Nothobranchius furzeri: one gene and its partner. The protein of the gene in region 2 interacts with the protein of the main gene of each other region in a pairwise test. Links are inferred from orthologs where the notes say so. Each region holds a gene or a part of one and is shown on either strand. Other genes may lie near its edges.

Region 1 (7,806 bases), on a different chromosome or scaffold from region 2:
TGTCTAGTGACTGATGACGAGGCGAGCAGCCGCTGCACTGAACCAACGTTTCCTGCTCAATTTTTTCTTTTGTTGCAGCACAAAACCACAAACCATCGATTGACAAATGGAGGCAGCTGATCTCTGACCAGTTTTTGTTTTGACTCCAGACGCACCACGTCAAACACAAGATGCTCCAATATATATTTGCAATTCCCAAATTTCTGAAGAATGAAACATGCATGCTTGTTTGATTCTGATTGGATGCTTTTTAAATCATAACTGAAAATGTGCAGCTAGAAAAATGCAAACTCTGAAAGTAAATTAATATTTTTTGCAGGAAAAACAAATGGAACATTTGAGAAATTTTAATGATAGAATAAATTGACAGGGTATCCGCAGGTCTTTAAAAAGTCTTAAATTCTTAAATTTGCTTTTCCAAATTTAAGGCCCTAAAAATTCTTAAAAATTACAAAGAATTCTTAAATCCAGTTTCCAAAGGTCTTAAATTACCAAAGACCCAATAAACAAGATTATTTTATTTCTATAACATTTTCGTGACTTTCTAGTTAGTGTTCAGCGTTTTTTGTGTACGATGTTGGCGTAAGCGGAACCGTACACGTTCAGTTGGTTGTGAAAGGGGGCTATTTTTAGATGAGCACATTAGCTGGTTAAGCTAGTGCGGGGGTCGGCAACCCGCGGCTCTGGAGCCGCATGCAGCTCTTCCATCCATCTGATGCGGCTCTCTGTGCTTGTAAAATAATGAATGGATATTTAAATAAAATGCTTTATATTTTACTGCATTAATTTTACATCTGTAAGCCAATTCTAAATGTAAAGATTGTCTGCGTAAACCTGAACAGATGTAAAGATTGTCTGCGTAAACCTGAACAGGTCCAACCCGGTCTTACTGTGAGACCGGGTTGACGGGTCACGCTTGTGTGTAATCATAGGCGCTTTCTGAGCTGACGAGGATGTGAGATTCTCCTCAGACGGCTCCTGGATGTGTCGCCACATTGGACAGGAACAAGCACTATTCAGCCAAAGTTTCATAATCAGGGAACATTTTCTAAGTGACAAGTCTCTCTGAGAGACAGGGTTTGGAAAACACTCGCTTCAGTCGGAGGAATCTTCCTGCATGCGCCCTGGTTCTGCGACGCGCTCCAAGCCCCTCTCCACATATTCAGCTCGCTGTGTACCTTATGTAGTACACGCTGACAGCGAGCTGCGCTGAGCAGTGTCCAGCTCAGGTGTTCAGATGGGAATCATTTCTTGAGTGATTTAGCTACATCTGCAATGTGCGTAGAATAAAGTGTCAGTTCGTCTGCATGCGTCGGGGTAATTCTTTCTATTCTTTCTCCGTCAAAATAAACGGTCAAATACGGGAACTATCCGGTCAACACAACACAAGCCCTCCTTTTAACTGTTCTGTTTTCTGGTGAAACTTGTTGCAAAGAGATATAATTTAACTTGATTAACACCAGAGCCAGGCGCACTGCGCCGTTATCTCCGTCACTGTAAATGAGGGAAAAACAAATTGATCGGATCCTTTTCTGACCTTCCCCACCTACAAAGTTTAATTACAACAATCAAACGTGACAGAGCCTGGATTTGTATTCTGAACAGTCTAAACATGTTTTAAAAAGAAACGTATGACAAAAGTGGCACCTGCTCAGTAAAACCACCAACAGGGTGAAGAATATCAAAATATTGTAGCAGAGACAGGCTACAACTTCTGGATCCATTTTACATGAATCGTTTTATTGATTATCGTCTTATGAAAGATAACTCTGACGTACACGAGCGACCGTTACTGGCTGCTGTCACCTGTTGTGAGCAGCGCTCTGCTGTCTGAGGGTAGGCCCCGCCCACAACGCCGCGGCTGCTGCGGCTCCCAGTGTTTTCTTTACTGTGGGAAACGGCTAATAATGGCTCTTTGATGGGAACAGGTTGTCGACCCCTGAGCTAGTGGGAGCTCGCGCCATGGGGAAGTGCAAGTTTAATGGTTACTGGATGGCTAATCCCACGTTTGCGACGTGGTTAGCACCGATTTCAGGCAATAGCTGAAAATTATAGCTTAAATTTAATTTAAAAAATAGCTTAAATTTGGTCAAAGTGACCTTAAAAAAGGTCTTAAATGTGGCTCCCTTAAACCTGCAGATACCCTGATTTGAGCCTCTTTTGTAAATGAATGTGAGACTGGGAACAAGAGGAGGCAGCAGGATGGTGAAGAAGCCGGAAAATGCAGGAAATGATTAAACACAGTAGGTTCCTGTTAATGAACCATTTAGCATATTTTAAAAATGGTGACAATTTGGGAAAGCAAATCCATTCTCCAGCCCCGAAATCTGATTTGCATTTGAGCGACTTCCAATCAAATAAGCAGTTTAGGTTGGAGTTGTAGTGGAATATAGTTGTATATTCTTACACTGTTATTAGGTCCAGATATTATAATCAGAATAGGTTGTTTTTTCTTCAGGGAGTTTTATTTAAACACTTTGTATTGACTTAGAGACAAGAAAAGAGAGAGTTGGGATCGTTTAAGAATCTTTAATTTCTATAATTATAAATTCAAACAATGTACCAGGACTAAATCTCTATGATGGATGCATATGGATTTGAATGTTGAAGTGTTGGTGTGTGTGTGTGTGTGTTCAGAATCTCCAGGCTGAGGCAGGCGGATCTGGGTGTCTGATGTTTAGACTAGCTACCACGAGGGCTTCAGTAGCTCTTGACATGAAACGCCATCTTGCCGAGGCTACGTACCGTATGGAGTCTCCCGTGGTCAGATCAGGAATGTCAGGTCCTCGGACCCCCTTGGTACTGGACTGATGAAACAGTGTTGCAGCACGACAAACCCGTCTACGGATAGCTCCGGCAGTAGCGGCAGGTCTCAGCGCGTTCAGCTTTTATTGTGAAGGAACCGTCGTCTTGTTGTTCAAACGACAGAAATTCCAGCTTGACAGTTCTCAGCTTAAAAGTAGAAAAACACAGCTGGCCAGACTCTAATCTCCTTTAGTGATGATGATTTGAGAGCTGGTTGAAACTACGTTGAGTCTATGATGTAACTCCTTTGGAACTCAGGTGGAACTGAAGTTAAAATGGTGTTGCTCTGTTTTTATTAACTTAGTTGTTTATAAATCTTAGCAAATCGGAGTGGACAATTTAAGTAAACAGCCCAGATTCTGCCCTGCGACAGACGAAAGCTCTGATTGGCTGAGAACAATGTGTCATGCGTTCTTATGTTCTGTGGAATAGTATGTCTGGTGCGCAGTCCTGTTTATTCATTAAACACATAAATCATAACATTTTGATTTCACAGATCAGTCACCTGATTATTATTGATCAACATATGTTTTGATTAGCTTCATCACAAATAAAGTACTTTGACTAATTAATGAGGAGCGTTCTTCTTCTTTCTTCTGTCTCCTTTCCTGGAATGTAAACATTTAGAAACAAGCACCCGACCTTGGCGATTCATGCACGCTGTTACTGTGTGAAGGGGGCAGCTGTTAAGGGCAGACAATAGGATCTTAATAACGCTACAAGAGTGTTGCAGTGAGTGTTGATGAAAAAGCCTCGCACTCTAAAATCTTTGAGCTGAAGTCTGGATCTGTTTTCTTTAAATACCTCCCCGAGATGATTTTTGTTTCCTGATGGGTCTGTGAGCTGCAGGGTCGGGATCACGGTTGCATTGCATCCCCAGAATCCACTGATTTCCCTCTTTCCTATTCACTCTCTCTCTTTCTTTACATTTTTAATCACAATTGTCTATTTTTTGCTCATTTAAAATATTTTTAATCATTTTCTAAATGATTAGTTATATTTTTTCATTTTTGTGAAGCGTCTCGTGATTTTTATCTTGAGGCGCTATAGAAATATTTTCTTCTTCTAAAGGTAATGGAGTGCAGTGAGATAAAATGCTTTTTAAAATATTTTTCAGTTCTAATCAAATTTGTTTTGTTATGAAACTTGAACCTTCGCCAGCTGGTGGATGAATGATGGACGGTTGGAGATTTATTTAGATAGTGATGAGACGGGTAACCCACCTGTGGGCTTATCTTGCTGCTGAGAACACGTAGGTGACACCAGCGACTCGTGAACTTGTTGACGTGTCTTCAGAGTCAGTACAAGGTCACGTGACCGGGGCGGGTCTTCTAATCACCTTTTAATGAGCCTGAAACCTTTAAGTTACCCAACGTGTTTTAAGCATAATTTAAAATAAAGACCATGAAAGCGTTTGGATCATTTGATGCTTCAGGGGTAAATGTGTAAAGTTCTTATACACTCAGGTGGAGTTGGCTTCCTAATCTGGATTATTTCTCCTGATAACAAGCTCTTATTCAGCTGACTCGCATGGGAAGCCCGTAAAGATCCCGTAAAGAGAAGCTGCCTCTGGGCTTTGGCCTCAATGAAACGTTTTAACTGTTGCTGTCATTAAACTGGGCTGAAGCAAACCTGCAGAGAAACACGCACTCAGATTCAAAATGTTCACACACTTCCTGTTTGGCTGATCCTGGAAGGTTGTAACTTTCTGCCTCCACCTGCTGGAGCAAACCCTTATTCATCTCCTTCCTGGCTCTGGAGGCCCTTGTGACTGGTTCTCACACATTTCTAGGATTTGGTGGACTGGACAAAGCCCCTGGCCTGGCAGGTGGGTCACCTGGGAGAGAAGTACGACGCATGGGTTCACCAGCCAGTCGACCGACCCATCAGACTCTTTGGGAATGCCTTCCTGGAAGCCGGCACCAAGACGTCCTGGTGAGGAATATACATCAGTGTAGAAAATAGTCACATTTAACGCAGTTACGATTTTTAACAGCTGTAATATTTTAATTGTATTTTTAATAAGAAACATTAGTGTGGTATTAGTGAAACATTTTAATGCTAATTAGGAACAAAATGCAACAAACCAAACTCGTCAGCTTTATTATTAGATTTGACTCACATTCGTTATTCAGTTTGACAGAATGGGACTGACGCTGAGCCAACGGGTCAAAGGGAAATGAACCTGGGAAGGGTTAGGGTTAGATGTTCATTACATTCAAATGTATTAATTCATATTAACTAGGAGTAGACGGTGTATCGGGCTGATATTTGTCCTGAGTAAAGCCGATTTACAGTCAGGCACATCTTTGGGCAGACAGGTGATGTAGCAGAATCTCCTTTAAAAGTGTTTATGTTCACTAATGACATCGGCATAATAAATACTCTAAATCAACTTTATTTAGGTGTCTGACTTTAACACTGAGCAGTGCATAAAGTTCAGATTTAACAGTTGGTTTAATTCAGAGTGCAGTTTAATTTTGTGCATCAACCGATGTTGATAACGGTTTAGCATGAAATTAAGCTGGAAGACGTCTCGATGTTGGCCATGAAAATCGACCCACAACAATCAGCAGTATCTATCGACCATCGGCCGACCGTGTCACCTACACATCGGCATCAGCATTAGAAAAACCAATTCGGTCGACCTGTTGGTATTATTTTTAATATTTATGATTCTGGTATGAAAATTTATACATGAGTGACATTCGGATCACAGATTAACCCTCTCAGGCTCAAAATAAGTTTTGATAGAAGGATGAACAACTAAGTCCTTCAGGGTACTTCTGCGTTAAAAATGCTCATGAAATATGTGTGGAGTAACCAGGTAGGTAGGTTTTAACCCGCCTGCCTCCAGAGGGTTAAACAGTAATCATGCTGAATGTTGGCCAATTTTAATCACCAGGAAATATTTTGTGCATTTCTAGTTTAAAGCACTTCATAAAAAATACCCAGTTGAGATTCAGGCCTTTAAGGGTTTAATGCACCAGTTTGAACCCTGGAATCAGGACCTTAAAAAATTAAAGGCAGTTGTTTTCAGCTCAGAAACGCAACCAATTTTATTTTCTGAGCTTCAAAAATCTTGGATTGAGGTGAAGATTGGGATTAATGCTTCTTTTAGCTGCTGTCTGGTTCTTGAGGCCTACGTCATGAGTTGGGCACACTTTTATCTACGTGGGATTAAGCCTCCTCTTGTTGAACTCTGATTTTTCCATTTAAATAAAAACCAAACAGGTGATTTCTGATGGTTCCAGGTACTGGGTACCGGTGGTTTGGCTCCCCCTGGTGTTCTATCTCAGCTGGTACTGCTACACCACCATGGCAAAGGGCACCTCAAGGATAGACGTCACTTCAGGTAACACACCTGTAGCGTAAACACAACCTATTTACCAACCCATGTTTTTATTTGAATACCTAGACAGACCAGGGTGTGTGTGTGTGTGTGTGTGTGTGTGTGTGTGTGTGTGTGTGTGTGTGTGTGTGTGTGTGTGTGTGTGTGTGTGTGTGTTCCCAGACTTGTCCATCCCCATCCATAAGTACATGTTCCCAATGTTTTTCCTGATGGGCTGGTTCTTGTGGACTTTCATTGAATACTGCATCCATCGCTTCGTCTTCCACATGAAACCGCCCGCGCACAACTACTACCTCATCACGCTGCACTTTCTGCTGCACGGGCAGCACCACAAGGTAGAACCAGGTTCTCACAGCTAATATTGGTGTTCTCCTTGGTTCACCTTCTTACTTTCACATGCTAACACCCTGCAGATCACTGCTGTCAAACTTTTGCAATGGTTCCTGTGAATAATTAGTATAAGCACGAGTAATATTTAATATTTTATTACATTAGAAAAATAGGTTGAAAGGCTAAATAATTTCTATTTACAACCAAATAAAAATGTATTCCTCCATCATGTATTTTGTTGTCTCCACAGTCTCCGTTTGATGGCTCTCGGCTCGTCTTCCCTCCTGGTCTGGCCTCCTTAGTCGTGGGAACTTTTTATATCTTTCTCCTCAGCACGCTCCCAGAGATCCTCGGGGTATCCGTGTTCGTCGGAGGGCTGTGCGGCTACGTTGTGTACGACATGATTCACTACTATCTTCACTACGGATCACCAAAGCGAGGAACGTACCTGTACAGTCTGAAGGCCTACCATGTAAAACATCACTTTGAGCACCAGAAAACAGGTCAGCACAACATCACACTTCCTGTACCGTTTAGGTCCATCAAAAAATACTTCAAGAGTTCTTAACTTTGATTCTACTGAAGAAGTTTGGACCAAAGATATTCCTGAAAATAGGCCTGGGCGGTATGGCAAAAATGTCATCACAGTATTATTTTAAAATTATATCGGTTTTATGGTATTTGACAGTATTTTTCACAAGGCCATGATTAATAATAATAATACATTTTATTTCAAGCGCCTTTCAAAGCTCTCAAGGTCACTGTACAAGACAAAATATAAGGAACAGCAAGCAATACAAACAACAAGAAATAAATGCTAAGAGTAATTCCCAAGGGTAGAGTCGGAGCAGTGCAATGGATAATAGACTAAAAAGAGTCGATGGAAGGAGGACAGTTACAGTGAGTAAGCCAGGCGGAACGTATGAGTTTTGAGTTGAGACTTGAAGGTTGAGAAGGAGTTTATATTGCGGAGGTCAGGCGGCAGAGCGTTCCAGAGTTTTGGAGCTGAGTGGCTGAAAGCTCTGGCTCCCATAGTACAGAGACGAGTGCGAGGAACAGACAGGGAAGGTGAAGATGATGATCGGAGAGAGCGAGTGGGAGTGACGATGTGGAGGAAATTAGAAAGATATGGGGGAGCGAGATTATGGATGGCTTTAAAGGTATGAAGAAGTATCTTATAGTCAATTCTGTATTTGACAGGGAGCCAGTGAAGTTGTTGCAGGACAGGGGTGATGTGATCAAAAGTGGAGGTCTCGGTGATTATCCAGGCAGCTGAATTTTGGACTAACTGTAACTTGTTGAGTGATTTTAGAGGGAGA
Region 2 (7,818 bases):
TAAACACACACTCCTGTCTGACGGCACAGCACCGCGCACACCTAACTCAGATCACTGTGAATGGAGGGAGGTGGTGCCTGGGACAAGTACTACATTAAAGTGGTTGGGGGCAAATCTGTAAAAGAGGAGGAAAGAAAAATAAACAACTCTTCAGAAAAGCAAGGACATAAGTGAAAACAGGACACGCAGGAAGCGAGCTGGGCTTCGGCAAGCCATTTTATCATTTAATCAGCAATCAGACCTCTAATTCTTATTTTAATAGCACGTTACCAATTTAGCAGAAAAATGTTGCATGACACGTATAACCAAAAATGACAGAAGAATGCTGTTTGTCTTTTCTTTGACAATGGAAAAATGGTCCGACTGAAAACAGTGATCTGATCTGAACCGAGTTTTAGGGTTGGGCATCGAGCACTGAGCATCGATTGGAACTGGGACCAACTGTTAGTTTTTCCCACAATCTGGCAAAGTTTTTTATTTCGATTCCTAGTGTGCCGACAGAAGAGGAATCCGCGGCCGATCTCCGTGAAAAATAAACGTGATCTGCAAATTGTGATCAACGCTTTTCAGAGCTGATCACACCAGCTGTCTGTGTGCAGCACCGAGTCCCCCTCCCTTCCCCCGACGCGCAGCGGCCAAGTATAAACAAACGTGTCTGCTGAACTTTTACTCCGTAATGTAAACTTTAACTTCTGCAGTGTAGAGGAAACTTGTTAAAATACATCAAACGGTGGATTTAATAGAAGCTTTAAAAAAAAACTGGACGGTGTGAGGTGAGTTTGTCTCACTGCAGAAATAAAAACACACACGGAGCGTCAGCAGTCAGACGCAGCTGCTCACCAACACTTGTGTGTGTGTCTGTGTGTGTGTGTGTGTCAGAAGGCTGAACAACAACCTGTAGAATAATTAAAGTCATAATGCTAGAGCAGCTTCTCTGTGGTGGACCACACCAGCTTCTGCCACAATAAATAATAATAATAATAATAATAATAATAATAATAATAAATCACACACAAAGTTGTGAACATTTTAATTTCCTTTCTGAACTATTTCAGCTGAGAGTTTTAATGTTTAAAATCTGTTAGATTGTTACCTACAGCAGCTACATTTAAGTTTCACTTCCTGTTCTGACTGAATGCTGCTGCAGCATGGAGGTGTAGTTCTCACCCCGGCTTTCCACCGGAGCCGTCAGCAGCACGTTACTGCAGCAGCACGTCATAGCTGCTGATAGGAACCGCTGTGGTCAACAGAACCTTTTCCACCGTAGCCGTCAGCAGCGCAAGTCGGCCGCGTCTCAGGAGCAGCATGTCGCGGCCTTTACGCGCCGGTTCTATTTTCTACGCGCGACGCCTCTGAAACGGGTCAAGTTCGACATTTTTGGGGAAGGAAAGACAGGAAATCGGACGCGGAAATGGAGAGAAGCTACCGAGATTTTCAGAATAAAGAACGTACTGCCTTCCGGTTGCTTTACTTTTAAAAAAGTTACTAACTGTGCGGCCCCATGAGAAGTTATCACCTTGCTAGCGGTCTCCTTTGTTTTTCAGGTCCGTATTGGCGATTATAAAACGGACAGAACATAAAAACACAAACATTTTGGAGCCATGTTGTAGTTTTCTCCTGCTTGTTGTTGTGTTTACTGACGAAGTCACTCGTGTGACTTCGTGCTCGGTCGGTGACAGCTGCTCCCCTGCTGCTTCGCGTCTCGTGGGAAGGGCCAAGCAGCAGCTTACGCGACGTGCTGCTGCAATAACGTGCTGCTGACGGCTCCTGTGGAAACCCGGGGTCAGTCATCCTGGACATGATCATCCTGAGAGTTTTAGCTGAAAACAGCCGGACGTTTCTGGATATGTTGGAGACATTTAGCCTCTCATCCCAGAGGCCAAATCTTACTCTTACTTTGGTTGTGGTCAGAAACAAACACACTGATTGTGCTGCAAGTCTTTTTCTTTTTTTCTCCAAAACATGTTTTAGTCTAAATGAAAGTGATGTTGTTGTTCATAGCGTTACAATTCACGTTGAAGTTAAGATTATTTCATCAAGTAGGACCTGTGGTTAGCTGGCTCATGTAAAGCATGTCATGTCTTGAAAGAATCGGAATCGGGAATCGAAACGAGGAATTGGAATCGGAATCGTTCAAAATCAAACGATGCCCAACTCTAGTGAGTTGTTTTTATACGTTGCACCACTAATGATAGTGGATCCATATATTTCTATAATAACACCCTCTTATGTTAAATCTCTGAAATGTATCTGCTAAATAAAGTTTTATCGAACAGTTATTTTTATTTAACTTTTGTTCTAATTTTCATTCTATAACAGACAAAAATAGTGCCTCGTCTGAGTAAAACAGAACTACTTCAGTTGTAGCTCCCCAGCCTGTTTGTGGAATGTTGCTAATCCGTGTGCGACAGAAATGAAAGGAAAATCTGAAGTCTGAATTTACCTGCACAGCTCTGTAGGTGGTAATGAAAGGCAGCATAATGTGATATCCTGGACCGTTTGGAGATGTCAGCAATGCGCCACCTCTGAAACAAATACAAAAAAGGCTTATCTAAGGTCTAAGGGTGCTATGGTGTTGCAATTTTATCCTAAATAAATGTATAAATGTATATATATATATATATATATATATATATATATATATATATATATATATATATATATAACAGAAGGCATGAACTTAAAATGTAAAATAAATGTAGAATAGCGTATTCTACAGTAGACTGTGACTTAACATTGACATTATGTGATGTAGCCAAAGAACAAGCATGTATTTTACATTGGTGCCTATGGGTCTGAGGCGCTCTGCTTAAATATGTATTTCCATCACAAATACCTTCAAACAGAACGGAACTAAGCTCTGACGTTAGGGCAGGTGCTAATCGGACTCTTGATACCCAGACTGGATGTCGAAGGGGACATTTTTTACCCTTTTTATAAAGCCACATAAAATCTGTGACAACATGAAAAACCTCGAAAGGGTACCGGGCTAAAGACAGAAATAGCAAAGCAGTGGAAGTTTTTATTTTTTGGAGAGCAGATTGTCATGATGTGGAATAGATCAAAGGGTTCACGTATATATTAGTTCCACACATTTAGCCGGTGAGTATGGTCCTATGTCTGAACTGACACTAGCAACGCTCTCAGACCCCAGTGAGTCATGGAGGATGGCTGCTTATACTGAGGCCGGATCCTCTGGAGGTTTCTTCCTGTTAAAAGGGAGTTTTCCTCTCCACTGTCGCTAAATGCTTGCTTAGTATGAGGATTGCTGTAAAGTCACTGACACCTGTAAGTAACTTGATGCAATTTGCTGGGTTCCTTATATAGGAAACTTTTTTCTGATTGGCTTAATGAACTGACCTGTATTGGAATATTTTATTATGTGAAAAGCCTTGAAACAACTCTTGTCGTGATTTGGTGCTATATAAATAAACTTGAATTGAATTGATGTGGAGTTATCCAGGAGACGGTCTCATCCAAACAGCATTCAGATATGGACAAAAACTGCTTTTTTGCCAGAGGTGGATAGTAAGCAAAAAATAGTGACACAAATAACCTAACAGTAAAAATAAGACCTTAAAGAAAATGTTACTTGAGCACTGTGAGTCATGATTAACTATTTGAGCGTAAACGTTTGAATATGATGTCTGTCAGGCTGTTTTTATCGATGTCCATGTACTTGCAAATACATGGTTTGTCTAGCATTAACACCCAGCAGCACTCAACTGTAGAATACACTATTAGATGATCACAAACAATATCAAATCAATCAATCAACACAGCATAAATCATAAAAACAAACATCTGTACACATGATGAATTTTTGAACATATTTGAACAAAGTTGTTCAAATATGAAAAAAAGAAGAGACCATGAGAACATGTAATGTCTTATTTCGTGGAAGAATGATGTGAACGACGAGGGATTCTAGTGGGCCATTCCCATCTGTACCGGGTCGGCCCAGGCCGGGTAGCCCCAGCCGGCCCCAGCCTGGCCCGGTTGATTCCACATATCCTTGCCTTAAGCCCATGTGGGCTGATTCTACCCACCAAGCAGAGGCTTGCTCTAATGGAAGGTGTGAATTTGCTGTCAGCAGTGGGTGTGTTGGCCCTGGTCGGCCTGAAGCAGACCCCCTCGAGAAGAGGGCTGAGAATGAGCCTTGGTTGGCCCAGAAAAATACCAGGCCACCCAGATATGTAAACAACCTACGCTACCCGGCCCGGGCCGACCCGGTACGGATGGGAATGGCCCATAAATTTGCCTTTGAGATACCTGTAGTAAACAGCAAGGTGTCCTTCCTCGATCTTGTGAATAGAGGAGTGCAACATGATGGCCATCACTCCTGCTATTGTTGCAAACACTGCCCCCACGTGCGGCATCGTCATCCTCATTTGACCTCACCTGCAGGCAAAGAGTGAAGCAAACACTGAAATGTTGTCACAACATTCTCTACTGGGAGAGGCACGATGGCTCTGGTCAGATAAATATGCTGTTAACTGTGAGCAACAAAAACATAAAAACCAATGTTTATTTTTAAGTAATAACCTACTGCTGCTGCAGTCTGTTTCCATGCTGAACATAATGAAGTCTTAAAAAGTTTTATATATTTTAATAATAATAGTCAAACAAAAATCAATGCACTGAACGTTATCTGGTATAAAACAGCATTCCACTTTACTTTTTTCAAAGTAACACTTAAGTTTAAATGAAATATGCCACTAATCATGTTCACCACCACGTTTAGTCCACTGTATTATTTATTTCTGCTCTCCTCTCAATTTAATATATCCTGATTTGCTCAAACAGGTGCTTTCAAGTCGGAGAAGCACCTCACTGACTGAAACACGAGTAAACAGTAGTCTGGGCTAACGCTAACATGATTTGCTTCAAGATATTTAAAGGAAAATATTTTCAATAATTTTGTCAAGTAACATTGCATCATGTGCGCAGAATAGATTAATTTCAATCGGCAGAATCACCAATTAAATTCAAAAGCCGGACACTTATTCCTTTGGTATGCGAATTTGGCAGGCTTAGCTAACTAGCCAGCTAGCTGTGTGTATCGGGTGGACTCGGAAGTCAGTCAATCCGTTAGCATCTTGTAGCTTAAAGTTAACAGTAGCTTGCGTGGCTGCTAGAACAAAGCAAATAAATCTCGACATGTTTAGTGTTCTCAAATACACTCGTAGCCATTTGAGCGTTAAAATAAACTGCTGAATGTTGACATAAATTTACCACAGTATCGAGCCGTCTCCACTTCTGATCTTATCATTCAGTGACCCATGCCCCGCCCACGGCCCGACTCCTCCCCCTCCCTCAGGTTTCAAGACTGCCGTAAGTGGGAGCGTGTCAAACTTAGGGAAAGCCGTTGTAACATAAAATAACCTGACTAGTCCAAAAATATTTATCTTAGTCAAAATGAAAAAAAATTCTAATACAAAATATGTGAAAATGTCTACTACAAAATTCCCCGGTGTAAAAATAACAAAACTAAACAAAAAACACTGTTTTGACATTTATTAAGAAAGAAAGAAAACAATCTTTTATACAGCACCTCTCAAGACAGTAATCATGTGGCGTTCACAAAAACTAAAACTAAAAAAAATTATTTTTGAAAAAGATAAAAAAAAAGACAAAACCATGTTTCACATGAAAATAAATATTGACTAAAAATGCCATGAAAGAGAGAGAGAATATGAATAGAATTGAGGGAAAGATCAATATTTTTTCTCTTCCTGGTCAAACTGGACATTTGAAATAATCAAAATGTCTTTGTTTTTTTATTATTCAATCAGCATTTCAGTTAATGCAAATTGCCCAACTGAGTTTGTTTTAATCTTCACCTGCAGCTGTCTCTTCACCAAAGTCTTTTATACATTTTCTCAGAATTTGTTTTTTACCCACTTAAAATTTTAAATATGAGCAGCCAATTTCATCTGTTTTGCTTTTGAATTAAATGAGATAAAAAATAAATATGTTCAACTGTGTTGCACTAAAATATATATTATGAGAGTCAAAGCACTGTAAATGTTCCATACAGTTGTACAAATTTATTCACATGCACAATTTATCATTAGCACAGTTCAACTTAAATCAATACTACAAAAAATAAATATTATTATTACTATTGCCAGATAAACCTTTGAACATTTTGCAAATGTGTTTAATTTAAACCATGCATAGCTGAGTTTGTGATGCTGTTTCATCCAGAACTGCCTTACAGCAATGCAACCTTATAAATGACACAATCTGGAAACAAACGCTTTCAGATTTTAAACAGGCACTTGTTAAAGTATCAGCTGTATAAAAACTCTCCGCTACTGGGAGTCTACTTTCACTGCTCCAAACTGAATCCAGCTCCAATCCTGATCCTGGAGAGACAGAAAACGTCTCTGTTACAGCAGTAGTAAACATACCATTCTGAAACCTAGATAAGCAATTAACTCTTTCAAATAAAAATTAACCATAATTCCTTATATTTCAGATTAAAAGTGCATTTATTAGTAATTCTTAGATCTGCATTTAAACTAGTAATTAGCACACCGATTTGTAACTGAATACAGTACCATAACACTGTGCTCCATCTCCTGGGTGGCATCCTGAAGCAGCGACGTAAGTTGAGCCATATAACGCTGATTGTCATCAAGCAACTGAGAAACAGTTTCACTAAAAACAGAAAGAAAAAAAAGAACAGAACTCTTTGATGGGACCATTTACTCCACACTACCATTTTACTGTACTACTTTTATACTTGAGACAGTGACGCAAGTCTTGAACAGATCTTACCTGTCAGTGGATTGTTGTGTAAATGACGGAGATAAAGAATCCCTTTGAGCCTAAGAACAAAGCAACACACTGTGTTAGCTCCCGAATAACCTGATTACAATTAATACTGCTTAGCTTATAGCTTTAAAGAGGGCATTTTAAAAAATGTGCTGTTGTATGAGCCCTGAGAGTGGGATCTCTATAGGGAGTGTACTTCTGGACCATGGGTCCTGTCCTTCTGCAATAAATAAATACATAAATGAGAGTCTATGAGCTGATAAAAGTTACTATGTGCCATGATGTCCATGAATTTTAAAGAAACAATTTGATGCCAAGAAAGCACTTATTTTGACAGGTGAAAGGTTGTTTCAGGTTTTGTGTGAAAAGACATAGCAGACAACTAATGCTTGTCTCACCAAATTGACGTCATAGAAACCAGACACAAAGAAGAGGAGAAGAAAATGGCGTTGAGTTTAGCAAGCTTAGAATCTCTATCCAGGACGACAGAAACAGCATTAAATGTGGAGAACTATAAATCTGGCCATGTGGAAAGCATCAGCTATGATGGGGGAGAAGAGATCCTGTGGTGATCATAAATGCAACGTCTGATTTGTCGTCATTTTAAATACGAATTTCCAAAAGCTAAGAAATCTCTAATCATGTGAGAAATTTGAATCACACATCAAGAATTTTTATTTAAATTGAAGTACAACAAATGTGCAGTTCAGAGCGTGTGTAAAAGCGGGCCAGAAAATACCTTTTATAGCCCTGTTCACTTCCATTAATGTTTTCTTTGCTCTGGGGACCCATGAGCTGAACGGGGGTTCAGGATTTTTGACATCTCTTCTCTGATTGGCTATTAGCAACACAACTCTACCACTGACTCCATTTGTTCTGTAACATTGATGTTTTATCTCCACAAATAACACAAGCCTGAAGAAGTTCTGCCGTGTTGTAGAGTTGCTAATGCTAACAGTTAGCTTCTACAAGCAGAAATACGCTCTGCTCTCTCATGGCTGCAAAAATCAACATCAGCCTTCCAGGTTGTGAGCT

Evidence for each region. The genes of interacting proteins can lie anywhere in the genome.
Region 1: the proteins of erlin1 (region 2) and fa2h interact in binary tests that used the Homo sapiens proteins (3 or more experiments, as listed by UniProt). The two-hybrid records come from large-scale screens. The link is inferred for Nothobranchius furzeri from reciprocal best matches to the Homo sapiens genes ERLIN1 and FA2H.

What each region holds. Positions count from the first base shown.
Region 1 is NC_091744.1:84,883,373-84,891,178, reverse strand, and holds part of fa2h (fatty acid 2-hydroxylase), read left to right. Parts: intron 1-4,597; coding exon 4,598-4,740; intron 4,741-6,059; coding exon 6,060-6,160; intron 6,161-6,319; coding exon 6,320-6,492; intron 6,493-6,737; coding exon 6,738-6,990; intron 6,991-7,806. UniProt on the Homo sapiens protein: Catalyzes the hydroxylation of free fatty acids at the C-2 position to produce 2-hydroxy fatty acids, which are building blocks of sphingolipids and glycosphingolipids common in neural tissue and epidermis.
Region 2 is NC_091752.1:23,927,488-23,935,305, reverse strand, and holds the start of erlin1 (erlin-1), read right to left. Parts: upstream 5,313-7,818; 5' UTR 5,236-5,312; intron 4,402-5,235; 5' UTR 4,392-4,401; coding exon 4,273-4,391; intron 2,526-4,272; coding exon 2,444-2,525; intron 1-2,443. Other genes in the region: inhibitor of nuclear factor kappa-B kinase subunit alpha, read right to left, coding at 6,318-6,371, 6,567-6,666, 6,787-6,836. UniProt on the Homo sapiens protein: Component of the ERLIN1/ERLIN2 complex which mediates the endoplasmic reticulum-associated degradation (ERAD) of inositol 1,4,5-trisphosphate receptors (IP3Rs).